2 linked regions of the Cricetulus griseus genome follow. The protein of the gene in region 2 binds, or shares a complex with, the protein of the main gene of each other region. Links are inferred from orthologs where the notes say so. Each region holds a gene or a part of one and is shown on either strand. Other genes may lie near its edges.

Region 1 (3,592 bases), on a different chromosome or scaffold from region 2:
TCCAGAGCGAGTGCCAGGATAGGCTCCAAAGCTACACAGAGAAACCCTGTCTCGAAAAACAAAAAAAAAAAAAAAAAAAAAAAAAAAGTTTTAAAAAGAAAGCTGGAGGGTATCTAAAGTACCTCATCTAACAACATTGCCCTTTTATCATTAAAAATAAAATAAAAACAACCCAGACAAAAAGTTACCAGAAACTGAAATCATAGTCACAAGCTATATACAAAGAGCATTTAGGAGAGCAGTGCTCCATGTGTTACAATAGACCGGTTAAGTGAAATCATCTAGTGATATTACAGCTATTCTGGCTTATGTGTATCATGTCGGTTCTGCATGAGTAAAGATCTTTAAAAGATTAAAATAGGGAGAAACCAAAAGGCAGTTGGAGTCTGAGCAGTTTGTACAGGATACCCCCCAGCATACAGAACAAGACCAGTGTGGCCCAGAGTGGGGATTTAGTCTCATTTCCATTTCCAGTCACACACTGAGATCAAGATGCAAATAGGAGGGTTCACTTTATTAGCCTTTCTACATTTGATCGTCTGTCTCCTTCCCATTCCCACCACCTCTCATCTGGTGCAGGGGACCACATCTTATGGGAAGCCCTGTTTGTGATTCTCAGGGTGGGAGGATAAGAGGGTTGGTTCCCTCTGCTGGCCCGGGGCACTCGGTGGAGCGCCGTTCCGTTCCCGGGAATGGCAGCACCACCAGCTTCTTTTCCTCGGGCCCCAGGTAGAGGAAGGAAACATCCAGCGTGTCCCCCTGGGGATTCGTGGTTAGATCCAGCTGCACGGGAAAGGCTTCCACGGGACTCTTTTCCTTGGAGTCTTCGGGCTTCTCAACATCCAGGTCAGGCAGGTGCTGAACGGATCCTCTTGGAGCAGTTTTGGAGGGGGAGTTGGTGGGGGCGGTGTTTTTCTGAGGGGCCTCGTCCGCCGTGGGGAGTTTCTTAGACTCCTGGGTAGCAGCAGTGTTATCATCTCCAGGAACCTGAGCCTGAAACAACAGTGTTTTCAAATTCGGAATTCTACAGGGAATGCCAGCTCCAGGCAAAGCAGTTTTGTGGCTGCGCATTTGTAATGAGGTCTTAGACGTGGATAGCCTAGACTGGAAATCTTCCTCCCTTGCCTCAAGTCTTCTGAGTGCTGGGATTACAGGTTCTGGATGCTTACAGAAACCAGCTACAGCCGCAGCGGTTCTCAAGCTTCCTAATGCTGAGACCCTTTCCTTAATACAGTTTGTCATGTGTGGTGAACCCTGACCATAAAATTACTTTCATTGCTACTTCATAACTGCAATTTTGCTACTGATATGAATCATTCTGCAGATATCTGTTTGCTGATGGTCTTAGACCACCCCCATGAAAAGGTCATTCATCACCACCACCACCCCTCAGGGCCAAGGGGTCATGACCAACAGTTTGAGAAGCTACAGGGCTGGGCCTCCTAATACAAAGATTCATGAAAAAACACGTTAAGTGGCCAAGTGGAACCAAGGCCTGCAGAAACTGCTGTTTCCTTTCAGAGCAGTGGTTCAGAGGGGCTTAAGGATTTATTCAGATTCCCCTTTACTCCCAGGTGTGGCAGCAAATGGCCTCTTTTATTGTTTGTTTTGTGCCAGTCCTGGTATGACACCCTTCATCCCAGTCCTCTCTAAGGTGGGTCCACCTTAGGAATCAGAACCAGCAGGCGATGAGGGTAGCAAGACCCAGACACAGAAGGTGGGTGCCTGTGGCCACACAGCTTGTAGGGGCAGAGCAGGGATGAAGGCCAGGCAGCCTGACTGGTCGGATCAGGCTACCCCATAATAAATACTAGGGATTGGACGTTTTCATGGAAGTGAGCCTCCCTGAGATGAGAGAGGTAGCTCTGAGATACTGAATTTAGCACCTTGAAGGCTTGAGCTAGGCAAGTTTGTAGTTCACTGTTTCTGAGTGTTTTCCTTTATTCTACAGGGCCACACTGTGACTAAAATAGCAGGATAATCTTCTCTCTTTTAGGTATGGGCTTAGATGGCCTAAGTAAAGTGACCCTGGATCTTGAGAAAACCAAAAGTAGGTGGGGAATAGGCCCCTAGAGATAGATGGTCTGATTCCATTGGAAATCACGGGGTTAGGATGAGAGGCTCAATTGGGGAAAGCCACACTCCTGCAAGCCCAGTGGCCTGAGTCCCAGGCCCCAGAACCCACGTGAAGGTGAAGGAGAGAACAAACCACCAAGTTGCCATGTGCTCATATACTACATTTGCAAACACACACTAATAATACTATTTAAAAAAAGAGAGATAAATACCTGAGATTCGAAAAACTCACAAGTCACAGAGACACTCTTTTTTCGAATCAGAGCTGGTACTTGAACTGATCCTTGAACCATAGAACCATGGCAAAAGCCGACAGGCTAAAAGAAAGACATGTGAGTATTAAGTCACCGGTGAGCAGAGCCCCTGCTTTCTGCTGTGTAGACACACAGCTGCACCACGTTTTCCTGCTCCTGCCTTGAAAGAGGGCATGACTCAGCCAGTTCCCTCTGAATTACCTAAAAACAACCAGGTGCAGCTTGGGAACAGTGGTTTTTTACGAAGTTCTTCCTGTGCCTACACCTTGCTCACTGCCTGGCCCTGGGTCTGTCATTATGCACTGTCCATTGCCTGGGTCTGCTATTGGCTCAATTAGGAAGGTTGGTTGTTTCCTCTTTACAGGAACCCTTAATGTGCTCCAAATGAAGTTTTGTCTTCTCAGGCAAAAACACTCTCAGCTCCTTCAGTTTCTGTCTATTTGAAAATAAAACTACTTTTAGAAAATGATAAAGGTAAAGCCGGGTGGTGGTGTCACACACCTTTAATCCCAGCACTCAGGAGGCAGAGGCAGGCAGATCTTTGTGAGTTCAAGGCCAGCTTGGTTTACAGAGCTACACAGAAAAACCCTGTCTCAAAAAAAATAAAGATAATAAATTATTTAGAACTACATAAATAAAGAGCCACGACCTGTAACTCCATAAATGGTTCTCATTGCCTGCAAACCTTTGACATTTTCTTCTAATCTTTTCCCTACTCATGCATATTTTTCTTCTAAGCAGTTAGATCATATTACATATGATATTTTATAACTATTTTGTCACTGAGCAATATATTATAAAAATCTTTGTATGGCACTGGACAATCTTCTATGTTTTTCTTTGTTGTTGTTGTTTGTTTTGATGATTATCTTTATGATGGCTATGGCTACCTAGTATTTCTCTTCATTTAATAAAGTCTCTTGTCAAACAACTAGATTTAATGTAATTTTTTTAAACATTGAAACTATTTTTTTCATGTATCTCTAGTTTTTTCCTTAGAGTAAATCTTTATGTGGCAGTTTGAATGAGAATGTCTCCTATATGCTTATCTATTTGAATCCTTGGGCCCCAGTTGGTGGAACTCTTTGGGAAGGATTGGGAGGTGTGCCACTGAGGGTGGACTATGAGGTTTCAAACACCTAGACCATTTCCAGTTAGTTCTGTCTGCCTCCTACTTGTGGATCAAGATGCAAGCTCTTCAGCTTCCAGGACAATGCCTACCTGCTTTTTGCCATGCTCCCTACCATGATGGCCGTGGATGC
Region 2 (3,823 bases):
GCCCCTGGGTCCCCAAAAATTATCTCTAAGGCGTTCCCGTTGTTTTTATAATGACAAGATAAATGCTCTGAGTTAGTCTTTGCGGTGTCAGTTGAGTGAGGGTCATGAAGGTAGTCTTGGGCACTGGTTTTCTCGGACTTTGTTGTTGTTGTTTGGTTGTTTTCCATTTTGGTATCATTACTTAATCAGTTTCCAAAGTAGCTGTTTCCCTTGTGGCATTTTTCATGTCTACTTAGATTTAGTTGGCTCTCCTTCCCACCTATTGCTGTTCCCCATCTCCCGATCATCATCCATGTTTTAACCCCTCCGTCCCCTGCCTTCCCCTTTCTCCTTCAAATCACTGGTGTTCTCTTACCCCACCCACCCGTCTCCCTTTAGGCCTCCATTTTGTATTTTCACCAGTTCCTTTCTAGTTTCCTGGCCTCTGTCCATCTTCACTTTCACCTAAACACCAAGATATGCATATAAAAAGCTAGAAACTAGGTCCTACCTGTGGGAGAGAACCTGTGGTGTTTACCTTTCCACACGTGGGAGACGTGGCACATGCGTACAGTGAAATTGTATCCAGCTGGAAATAAAAATGAAGCCAGTAGAGGAATGGATGGAACTGGACAACATATGTTTTCTCTTGTTTTTCACAGAGAACCAGAAATGCCCTGAGAGACCCAACAAGAAGATGGAAGTTCCCCATTCCATACATCCTGGCTGACAACTTGGGTAATGGAAGTCTTTCTTAACTAGAAATGGGTAAACTTTTCTCTCCCTTTTCTCCTGCTCATCAACTTCAGACCAATATAAAGAGCCCTGAAGATTCTTTATCTCTTGGGAAGAAAGCCATGATATTTCTTTATCCAATCAAATAACAAGTCAAGGTTTGGACGGATGACTCAGTCAGCAAAGTGCTTGTTTTGCAAGCACAAGGACCTGAGTTCGATCACCAGCATCCAAGTAAAAACTCTGGCAGGCTGACTCATGCTTGTACTCTCGGTGCTTGGAAGGTAGAGACAAGTGGGTCCTTGGGGTGGGCCCAGCCCAGCCTCCTTCGTGAACTCCAGGAGGAGAGACCCTGCCTCAAATAAACTGACCTGCCCCTGAGGAACAACACCCACAATTGACTCCTGACTTCCATATGCTCAAACTTGTACATGTGTACCTGCCTCAACACAAACATGCACATTCGTACATGTGCATGTATGAATGCTCTCTCTCTCTCTCTCTCTCTGTCTCTCTCTCGCACACGTGCACACACACACACACACACACACACACACACACACACACACACAGTCAGATATTACTGCACATGTTAAAATGTTAGTATAATCAGGAACAACACAAAGAACAAAACTGTGAGATAAAATTTGACACCATAGTGGTAAAATTTTGTGCTTCATTGGTACAAAGGCTGAGCTGAGTACAGATTGAGGATACTATTTCCAGCGTATCGATTTCTTCTCTTCTTTGTTGTGAGAGGAATATAGCATGTTTTGGAAAAATAGAAAGCAAATATTATCCATGTTCAAGTCCCTTTTTCTCAACATTAATAATTTTGACTTTCTCCTTTCTCCTTTCTCTTAAGATAAAGATCTGTATACTTTGTGTTTTAGTCACTGATTAATTGGTAGTAAATAAATGACTATTAGATGCAATGAATAGGTACTGGCTGATCCTCAAGTGACACTCCAATAAGAACCACAATGACACCTTGTCTGCAAAACCTACTCTTCATTGATAGAGAAGATGAGATGGGACAGGGGAAGCCAGGCCAAGGTTGCATCATTTGCAACAGACAGGCAGGCATGGCAGAGGAGCAATAGGTAGGAACTTATATCCTGATCCTCAGGCAGGAGGTAGAAAGAGTGACACTGGGCCAGGAGTGGGCTTTTGAAATCTCAAAGCTCCCCAACCAGGTGGCACACCTCCTCCAACAAGGCCACACCTCCTAATCCTTCCCAAATAGTACCCCTAACTGGGAAATAAGCATTCAAACACATTTGCCTATGGAGACCATTCTCATTCAAACCCCACATCCCACTTGCTGGCCCTCCTAGGCTTGTAGCTAAATCATAGTACAAAATGCTTTCAGTCCGACGTTACTGTTTTATTTTTTTTAACATATTCTAGATATTGGTTCTGTGCCAGATAAATAGTGTGACAGTTTTTAGGCTAATTCTTTGCTCTCTTGACTTGACTTCTTGGCTGTGTGGAAGCTTCTTAGTTTGTTACAATATCACATATAGTTTTTGCTTTTGAGGATCTTGCTCTGGGGTTCTCAGCCAAAAATCTATACAGATGTGTTGAATTGATTCCCCTAAGCTGTCTCCTGGAAGCAATGTGGCTACCCAGGTTGTCCAGTGCCGTTTATTGAGAAACTCCTTTCTCCAATACATGCTTTAGTGCAATGGAAATAATATAGTGTTCAAAAATAATCCCATGAATTTTACAGTCAACTATTATCAACGAGGACACTAAGGACTCCCTTCCTCCCTCCCTCTCTCCCCTCATCTTCCCTACCCTCCCTTCTCTCTGACAAAATCTTACTCTGCAGCTGAGGTTGGCCTTGAACTGAAATCAGTTCTCACAAGTGCTGAGATAATACATGTGAACAGACCTGCCCAGTTAAGGACTATTTCCGTAATGATGTTGCTATTACTTTATGACTCTCCAACCTGGTACTTTAAGAAATGAGAACCATGATGTAATCATTTGGCAGAATTCCAAGGATTATATTTTTTTTAGTTAAAGCATAAAATGAAATGTGCAAACCCAAGGATTTCATTTTCTATGACTTGGATTAATTTTTAATTAAGCTCTCTACCTCCAGTGAGTTGATGGTAGGGAAAAAGAATGCAAATGAAGTAAAATATAATCTCAATTCTCTGGGAGTTCACTCCTTTCCCACCTATCCTTGCCATGGGTAGAACTGTACTTGCATGGTGCTGGCTGGTTGGTCTTACTACTTCCTACTGCTCTCACTGGGGAAAAAGGTGACACCCCATGTTGTTTCTTTGCTTCAAGAATATTCACACATCTCTCTCCTCCGTCTAAGAGGAATTTAAAAAAAAAAAAAAAAACAATGGGCCTTACTTAGCCCACATTGGCCTTGAACTCCTGATCCTTCTGCCTCCTCCTCCCAAGTGCTGAGAGTATAGGCATAAACCAGTATGCCTTGTTTACACGGTCATAAGGATGCACTCAAGACCTGAAGCAAGCTAGGCAAGCTCTCTACCAGCTGAGCTGCATCCCCAGCCTGGGAAGATGTTATTTTAGTGAGTGGGTAGGACCACTATTTCTATATCTTCTATCCAAGGTACTGCACCCACACATACAAAAGCCAGAGTGACTTGAAACCCATATCTGTTTCCTACTTTGCCACGTGACTCTTCTCAGGAAAAGCACTGAAGGAAAGAAGAAAAAAAGGAGAAAAAGGAAGATGTTGTTCTATGGTTTAGCTCAGCTTTGTACACATGCATGAGCTACTACCCTGCAGTCCCATTTGTGTTGATGATCTAAATTATGAACCAGCACTGTGTATGCAACTAACTGCAAATTTTGTTTCCAAGGAATTGAGTTATTGCCCAAAAGAAAAAAAAAGAGAAAAGAAAAAACTCTTCTTGAAACCTCAGTGTATTTCATATCCATGGTACAGCCTTCTATAAACTATAAGCTGTGTCTGTTATCCAGACTCTCAACAATGCCTGTCAATGTTTTACAGATCTGAATGCCAAAGGAGCCATCCTCAATGCCTTTGAGATGTTTCGCCTCAGGTCCTGTGTGGATTTCAAGCCCTATGAAGGAGAGAGTTCGTACATCATCTTCCAGC

What was found.
Region 1: the proteins of Mep1a (region 2) and Fetub are in contact, whole or in part, in a cryo-EM structure (PDB 7UAI), measured with the Homo sapiens proteins. The link is inferred for Cricetulus griseus from reciprocal best matches to the Homo sapiens genes MEP1A and FETUB. Residues at the interface, in NP_005579.2 of Homo sapiens: Asp126, Gly127, Cys128, Trp129, Ser130, Glu131, Val132, Gln145, Gly146, Cys147, Tyr149, Ile152, His155, Glu156, His159, Tyr164, His165, Gln167, Ser168, Leu184, Gly186, Tyr187, His189, Asn190, Asp192, Tyr194, Tyr214, Gln215, Phe217, Ser218; in NP_001362516.1 of Homo sapiens: Phe109, Phe110, Lys144, Lys145, Tyr148, Met149, Thr150, Cys151, Pro152, Asp153, Cys154, Pro155, Ser156, Ser157, Ile158, Ser196, Ser197, Gln198, Trp199, Val200, Val201, Gly202, Tyr205, Phe206, Thr242, His245, Trp246, Phe249, Val250, Ser251.

What each region holds. Positions count from the first base shown.
Region 1 is NC_048597.1:65,921,100-65,924,691, forward strand, and holds the end of Fetub (fetuin-B), read right to left. Parts: intron 2,394-3,592; coding exon 2,289-2,393; intron 994-2,288; coding exon 616-993; downstream 1-615. UniProt on the Homo sapiens protein: Protease inhibitor required for egg fertilization.
Region 2 is NW_023276807.1:29,813,741-29,817,563, reverse strand, and holds part of Mep1a (meprin A subunit alpha), read left to right. Parts: intron 1-641; coding exon 642-717; intron 718-3,715; coding exon 3,716-3,823.